Linked DNA regions of Arabidopsis thaliana. The protein of the gene in region 1 interacts with the protein of each later gene in a pairwise test. Each region holds a gene or a part of one and is shown on either strand. Other genes may lie near its edges. The genes, in order: ADT4 and ENA.

Region 1 (4,709 bases):
AAATCTTTTAAATCATTTTTAAGCCCTTTAAAATCCCTTGTAAATATTTTAAAACCCTTTTAAAATCCCTTGTAAATCTTTTAAAACCCTTTTAAAATTCCTTGTAAATCTTTTAAAACCCTTTTAAAATTACTTGTAAATATTTTAAAACACTTTTCAAACAATTTAAAAATCCCTTGTGAAGCTTTGTAAATCTTTTAAAGCCCTTTAAAATCCCTTTTAAAATCCCGTATAAATCTTTTAAAACACTTTTAAAATCCCTTGTGAAGCTATTTCCCGCCAAAAAAAAAATTGGCGAGAAATTTTTTTTTCAAAATTTTTTGGCGAGAAATTTATTTTGGAATATTTTAAGCGAAAAATATTAATATTTCATTTTGTTTACCTAAAACAATTTCCAAATAGGGGTAAAATGGTCATTAAAAAATTTAAAGAGGGTAGAAATGAAAATGACAAATAGGAAAGAGTATAATTAAAAAAGGATAATGTGAAAAGGTCATTTTCAGCAATTATTCAGAAAAGAATATAAGATAATGATTCTGTCGGAAAATTCAATGTTACACTTTTTTTTTACGGAAACAAGATTTTGTTACTTTTTACGGGATGACATAGTTTGCGACTTTTACTGGAAAACAGTTTAAGTAAAAAAATCACAAATTTAGGGATTTTGGCATAAAACACACAATTTTGCGGTTTTTTGTAGTAGAAACGGATTCAATATCCAAGATCCTGAAATATGTTATCAGTCAAATACAAATCATGTATATAAATATATGCTCCCGAAATGACAGATCATAGATCACCTTCCGAGTTTCGTAAAACAGTATTCACTTTGTTAATTAATTACCAAATATTTTCACCAAAGCGAACAAATAATAGACATCGTCAAAAATGAAAATGACCAACAACTTCATAAATCATAATAAATACAAAACCATTTACTATATATGTGTCCATTATGGTCTGCGCATGCTCTCACAGCTTGGCGATTGTGTCAAAGTAAAAGAAGGTGAGCTGAACCGTGTTATTCGTGGACATATAAAATTCCACATATGAGAAAGTGAACTTTGGGCCTACTATATATTTTCGTAATCAAAATTTTTATTAATTTCTGAATTCATTTATCCTCTATATATTAAATTATTAATAGAGAATCACACTTAAAAAACAAAATTTAGTTACAGTCGTATTTACAGAAATGCCAGCTGATGTGTCAGAGCAATTCTCAATCAATTTACTTCATTGTCCCTCATTTACTAGATCATTTATAAAATTTATCATTAGTAGTACATATAAATATCTCAATAACAGAAACAATAAAAAGTAAATCCAATTAAAAGTAGTAAATAATTAAAAAAAGAAATTCCAATTAAAATAATCTAATAATTAAGCAAGTAATATTTCAGAACTTAATATAGAACTACTTTCGTTTTTATATAGAAACATAAATCATATGTTAACAAAAATATTAATATAGTACTACTTTCATTTTTCTAATCAGATATTACCAATACATTTATAAATAAAGTTTTTTCCAAAAATAATATCAATTACACTTAAGTAAATTATAAATATTCAGAAGATTCTAAAAATATAATTTTAATTTAATTTAATAAGAAAATTATAAAAATAATAACTAATATATTTATACATATTTAATAACAATCAATATACGGGCAATAATAATTTTAATGCAAAAACTAGATGGTTCAAAAAAAAAATATTACATTAAATAATACACAGGCAAATTTCAGATTTCAAATAATAAAAAATTTACTATAATATATTTATCCCACACATAGTGCGGATAAACTATCTAATTTTTCTTGAAGTAGGTAACTAAGTTTTAATTGAAAAACAAACAATTAAAAAACTATATATATATATATACATATGTATATATAATAATAGAATATTCAATACTTTTTAAGAGAAATTTTACCATCCACTGCTCAAAAGAAACACCAATGATCTTGATATTTGTAGAAAAATCTATGGACGTAACACCAACAATACAAAACCATGGTAAGAACTAAGAAGAAATGAAGAATATCGCTTTCACGTAAACCAACAATATCATATATTTCAATAAAGACAACTATTATTATAGTTTTCAGAAAGAAAAAAAAGTATAGAAATTACATGGAAGGTGGTAGGTGAAGGATTTTACCGAATTACATACGTCAAGACTAATTTTGTCAAAAACAAAACAAAATTTATTCTTGTGTGTTAGTGTGTATATAAGACCATCTCTCTTCTCCTTTATCTCTCAGCTTGAGCTTCTCTCTCAACGAAAGAACTCAAGCTTTCCAACACTATAAATCTATAATACAGCTTTTATTCTCAAATTTTGTTTGTCTTACCATCATTACCAAACCATGCAAGCCGCAACGTCGTGTGATCTCAAGTTCCGATCAACAGATCCGACGTCTAGGAACAAATGTTTCTCCCACGCGATTCCAAAGCGCGTGGCTGTTACGTGCGGTTATAGGTCGGAGTCGTTTAGCTTCCCTAACGGTGTCTCCGTGAGTCGATCTGATTGGCAAAGCTCATGTGCCATTTTATCTAGTAAAGTTGCTTCTGTTGAAAATACCGGTGGTTTAGCGGACAAAATCGCCGCCGTTAATGGTCACACGAACGGCTCTGTGAATCTTGGTCTCGTCGCCGTTGAGTCAACTAACGGAAAGTTAGCTCCTGCTCAGCCGTTGACTATTACTGATCTATCTCCGGCACCGTTGCATGGTTCTAGTCTACGTGTAGCTTACCAAGGCGTTCCCGGAGCTTACTCGGAAGCAGCTGCCGGAAAAGCTTATCCCAATTGCGACGCCATTCCTTGTGACCAGTTTGACGTTGCTTTTCAGGCGGTGGAGCTTTGGATCGCTGATCGAGCTGTGCTTCCGGTGGAGAACTCACTCGGTGGTTCGATCCATCGAAACTATGATCTTCTTCTCCGTCACCGTCTTCACATCGTTGGAGAAGTTCAGATTCCGGTCCACCATTGCCTCCTCGCACTCCCGGGAGTCCGAACTGACTGTGTTTCGCGGGTGATCTCTCACCCGCAAGCCCTAGCGCAGACGGAACACTCCCTCGACGTCCTTACACCACATGCAGCGCGTGAGGCTTTCCATGACACAGCGGCTGCTGCGGAGTATATCTCAGCTAACGACCTACATGACACGGCGGCTGTGGCGAGCGCACGCGCCGCTGAGCTTTACAACCTCCAGATATTAGCGGATGGGATTCAAGACGACCCGGGGAACGTCACTCGTTTCCTAATGTTGGCGCGTGAGCCTATAATCCCACGCACGGACCGGCCATTCAAGACTAGCATCGTCTTTGCTGCCCAAGAGCACAAAGGAACTAGCGTCCTCTTTAAAGTCCTCTCGGCTTTCGCTTTCAGAGACATTAGCCTGACCAAGATCGAGTCCCGGCCTCACCATAACCGCCCGCTTAGGGTTGTTGGTGACGGGAGCTTTGGGACGTCGAAGAACTTCGAGTACATGTTTTACGTGGATTTTGAGGCATCGATGGCTGAGCCGCGTGCACAGAACGCGCTTGCGGAGGTTCAAGAGTACACGTCGTTCCTAAGGGTGCTGGGAAGTTACCCCATGGATATGACACCATGGTCCATGACATCCACAGAAGAAGCATGACCCCATCGCCAAAAACAAACTCACCAATAAATTTATTAAATTATTCTGTTCTTTCTTTTTTTGTGAAAATTGTAGTATACATTGAAATTAAACCGTAAATGTAGAGCTCATTATTCACGTGGTGATTAGGAGAAAACAAAATTTTATTTGTCTGTTACTAGCTACCAGATATATCTTACATTCTTACTTAATAGTTATGAACATTGTGGTTTATTCGCAGAATCTTTTTGAGTTCCTTGGTTTTCTTTGGTAAATTCACTCGATTTTAACCAAGAAAAGCAAAAATGATTGGCATTACCAAAAACAAAGACATATATTTACACATATTTTTTAGAAAAATGTGATCAGTTTTGTAACTTTGTTTATCTTAACAACGTTATTAGTATTTTTACTACAAATTTCTATTAAATCATATTTTTAGTAGAGATGATCCTAATATTTTCTTCAATATCAAAAGCTTAAGACCAAATTCTTTTATGTAATTATCAGCATAATGTTGTTACTAAAACTTTCTGTTAGGACTTCATCTCAAGTTCACTAAGCTCAACCACAACATATGTATACCATTAAACAATCGCTTACATGATAAAAAAAAGTAAACCAATGAAAATGAATGTGAATAAAAATCAACTTATCATATTTAATATACAATACAAAGATTTTGTTCGAAGTTTATATAATATTCACAAAACAAGTCTCCATTATTGTAGTTGGTGATATAATTTCCAACATCATTAAAATATTTTGTGAAGATTTCCTTGAAGTTTTCACGAGTAGATACAAAAAAAAAAAGTTATGGTCACCGGTCACGTGTGAACTCAACTCAAGGGTTCAACGTTTGGTTTCTAGGTGAGTCGCAAGAAATTAGCAATATAATTTCCAAGAAACTTACATGTTGAATCTAGTAATAATTCACATGTAAATCGGAAGCTATAAACAGCGCCGATTATTAATAATCTACTGTCTTAAAACAAAAGAAATAAATATGGTTCTATAACAAAAAAAGATTTGGGACCAGTGAAACATTGTAGACTTTTCAATTTATTTTAAAAATCGAAT
Region 2 (3,706 bases), about 10 Mb from region 1:
TTTTCAATTGCCTCTGTTTCTCTCTCATTCTCTGATTCATCTTCATCAGAATGAACAGGAAGGCCTCTGTTTCCAAGGAGCTCAACGCCAAGCATTCAAAGGTCCCATCTTTTTTTCTCCTCCTTTTCGATTTTTCACCATTGGTTTTGCGTCTGGAAAGTTGAAAGGTTAGAGATTTTGTGTGGGTTATAGATATTGGAAGCACTTTTGAAGCATCCAGACAATCGAGAATGTGCAGATTGTAGATCAAAGTAAGCATCTTGATAACATTATCTCTTTCATGATCATGTAAGAAAAACGATTTAGGAGCATTGTGTTGTTTGGATCTATCTATTTTACAGGGCACCAAGATGGGCAAGTGTGAACCTTGGGATATTCATTTGTATGCAATGTTCTGGAATCCATCGTAGCCTTGGCGTCCACATCTCTCAGGTCCCTAAATAATCTCTCTTTTAATTGATTGTGTTGTAAATGGATCATACAAATTAGGGATACTGATGAATTTTGGACACAGGTAAGGTCTATAACTCTGGATACATGGCTTCCAGATCAGGTTGCTTTCATGAAATGTAAGCTCCTCTTTTGTATATAATGAACACATTCAGTAGTTGAATTTTGTATCAATCCCATAGCTTGATCATCTTATTCTCGGTCTAGCTACCGGTAATGCTAAGGGAAATGAGTATTGGGAATCAGAATTGCCTCAACATTTCGAGAGAAGTTCAAGCGACACGTTTATAAGAGCCAAGTATTGATTCTTTTCTATGTTCGCTTTTGCTTCCTCATCTGCTACAACACAACTTTAGCTTGAATCTTTTTTTCTTCTGTTCGTGTGTGTTTTAGATACAGTGAGAAGAGATGGGTTTCACCGGGAGCGATTCAACCGGCTCCTATAGTTAGCCAGCTAAGCTGCAAAGTTAGTCACTTGGTAGAGAGTGGATATAAACCTGAAACTCCAAAGAAAGCTAGAACTCTTTCACTTGACGAAGAGATCCTTCTTCATCATGTTCTTCAAGTAACACCTCCAGAAACGAGAACTCGTGCGGTATGACAACAAATCTATATCTTTTTGGGTTCTGGTATGATCACTAGATTGGAAATTCATTCAGTTTCCTTGTTTGTCCTGTGGCAAGAATTAACAAAGCTTTTGTAGAAGGATTTTGAATCATTTCCATAAACTGTTGTGCAATGCAGGGTTCGGTAGATATGAAGGAGAATGTATATGTTGTACCTCTACCAGAATTCAAGAAACCAAATCAAAAGAATGAGAATTTCTCCAGTGAAGTAAACCAGAATAGAAGAACCACCATAGCACCACCGTCGAGCTGGGCTACTTTCGACTGTAAGGCCATGATTCAGGCTTTTCTTTTTTTTATCTTCTGTTAGTTTTGAGGTTTTGATTCTAAATCTCTAATGTGAAACAGGAAGAGAAAAGACTCTATGAAGACGAAGAAGATGGAGGTTTTGGAAAAACAAGAATCATCATGTGGGCTTTAATTTTAGTCAAAAGGTTGGCAAAGATGGGATGATGAACTCAAAGTTGGTTCTGTTTTCTAATTCTTTATTCATTCATAATCCAATTTTGGTTGCTTGTAACAAAATCATTTTTAATTCAATGGAAGAGAGACATCTTTGAGTATTTGACAAAAGAGAAAGCAAATACAAGTCACCAATGTGATTATTTTTAATTGCTGGACAAGTAACATCAATTGATTGGTCCACCATACTCCATAACAACCGTAATGATTTCAATAATCACTTTTGAGTTTGTGTTTTATTTGGTTTACACTTTACATAGGAAACGAATAAAATTAAATCAGACCTAAACACACTAACTCGGTCCGGTTTGGTTAATTTTCTTACGGGTTTATTGAGAGATGGGCCTTAGGCCCGAGAGAGAACACAAACTGGAATGAGGAAGAGGAACAGAACAGTTGTGGTGTGTTACGAGTTACGACTGAAGAGTGACGGAGATGGCGGTGAACGCGTGTCTATCTCCGCCGGAGATGATGGCTGTCCGGCCAGGGGAAGGCGTTCCGAATTCAAAATCTACGCAGGGAAAAACTAGGCTCTATCTCACCAAACCTTCATGGATAGTCAGAACTCAGGTCTGAAACCAAAAACCCCCAATTTCTATCTCTAGACTCTTGATATCATTAATAAGAATGAATTCAATGGTTAACAGTCTGGAGCTAAGACGTGTATGAAGTCGAAGGCGAAAGGACGATGCGTAATCTGCCATGGAAGTGGAAGAGTCGATTGTTTCAATTGTTGTGGGAAAGGTAAAGATAAATAACTTCTCTCTCTGGTTCTCAACTTTAAATGTCTCTTATGATTGATTTCTTCGTATTAACTACTTCAGAGAATTGAATTCTTGCTTTTTTGTGATATATGATTGAAGGGAGGACTAATTGTGTGGATGTGGAAATGCTTCCAAGAGGAGAATGGCCTAAATGGTATTCTTGAGGCTTTTATATCTGTTATTTGATTCAAGAACTAAAGGAGTTCAAAATTTTTTTTGGTTGTTTTGGTCACAGGTGCAAGAGTTGTGGAGGGAGTGGATTAAGTGACTGTTCTCGCTGTCTTGGCACCGGAGAGTACAGATACATCATGGGTTTCCGCTTCTTAAACCAAAACGATGATGCCGATCCACAATAATGATTTGGAGAAACTCTTAACGATCATGTCCTTGCCAGTTTTTGTATATGTCCAATGAGGAGGCTTAAGACTTGTTTAGTAATGTTGTATATGGTTGCTCCTGACTTGTTAATATTGTTTGTAATCTTCAAGGATGTTGTTGCAAGTAAAGAGAAATCACCAGTCTACAAGTTCTTTAGGAAGATAAATGAAACGTAGCCACCGTTAGTTTTATATTCTTAAGCTTACATTGCAAAATTGTTGTATCTTGGCTTTGTACTTACTAATGGTATATTTGGATTCTTTAGTATAATGGGAAGGTTCTGAGTCAAAATTTTAGTTATGAGCTGTCTAATTTGATTAAGAATTAGTCTAGTGATGTTTTATCTTCGGCTTTGAGTGTGAAACGAAGCAAAATGGGAGCTGATTAGAGTGTACAATTGTGATATCCGGTTTAGTCAAACCGGATTTAATACATTTTAATTTGATTATCTCGGTTTATTTAGTCAGGCGCGCATCTTTCTTCTTCTTGTGGTTCGATATTCTTATCGTTATGTCTTCCGTCGCTTTGCCGGCGATGAGCTGCCGGAGCTCAGGTGAACAAGTGAAGGAGATTCGCGTTTGTACGAATCGCACCTGCCGAAGACAAGGCTCCTTCCAGATTCTCGAGACTTTAACAGCTCTCGCACCTCCCGAACTCCGAGTCACTCACTGCGCTTGCCTCGGCCGATGCGGCTCCGGTCCAAACCTCGTGGCTCTCCCTCAAGGTCTCATCCTACGTCACTGCGCCACGCCTTCTCGAGCTGCTGAAATTTTGTTCAGCCTATGTGGTGACGGTCGTGAAGCTTCTTCATCCTCCGCCGTCACAGACGCTCTCACGGCTTTAGCGTTAACCAACAATGCTCTCTCTCAAATCGATGCGGGAAATTTCTCTGAAGCCGAAGCACTTCTCACTCAGGTCTGTAGACTTACGAATTTGTCTCAATTTCTTCTCCATTTTTATGGAGCTTGACCATGGATGTGTCTATGATTGCAGGCTTTAGAGCTGAAACCCTACGGTGGCTTGCAT

What was found.
Region 2: the proteins of ADT4 (region 1) and ENA interact in a two-hybrid assay, tested with the Arabidopsis thaliana proteins (one large-scale study listed by BioGRID).

What each region holds. Positions count from the first base shown.
Region 1 is NC_003074.8:16,269,384-16,274,092, forward strand, and holds ADT4 (arogenate dehydratase 4), read left to right. Parts: upstream 1-2,127; 5' UTR 2,128-2,375; coding exon 2,376-3,650; 3' UTR 3,651-4,030; downstream 4,031-4,709. UniProt on the Arabidopsis thaliana protein: Converts the prephenate produced from the shikimate-chorismate pathway into phenylalanine.
Region 2 is NC_003074.8:6,037,667-6,041,372, forward strand, and holds ENA (DnaJ/Hsp40 cysteine-rich domain superfamily protein), read left to right. Parts: upstream 1-1,741; 5' UTR 1,742-1,973; coding exon 1,974-2,108; intron 2,109-2,185; coding exon 2,186-2,282; intron 2,283-2,401; coding exon 2,402-2,456; coding exon of another isoform or gene 2,457-2,466; exon of another isoform or gene 2,467-2,537; coding exon 2,538-2,658; 3' UTR 2,659-2,967; downstream 2,968-3,706. Other genes in the region: AGD15 (ARF-GAP domain 15), read left to right, coding at 51-101, 193-251, 342-432, 515-569, 658-748, 844-1,045, 1,195-1,386; AT3G17670 (tetratricopeptide repeat (TPR)-containing protein), read left to right, coding at 3,191-3,595, 3,674-3,706.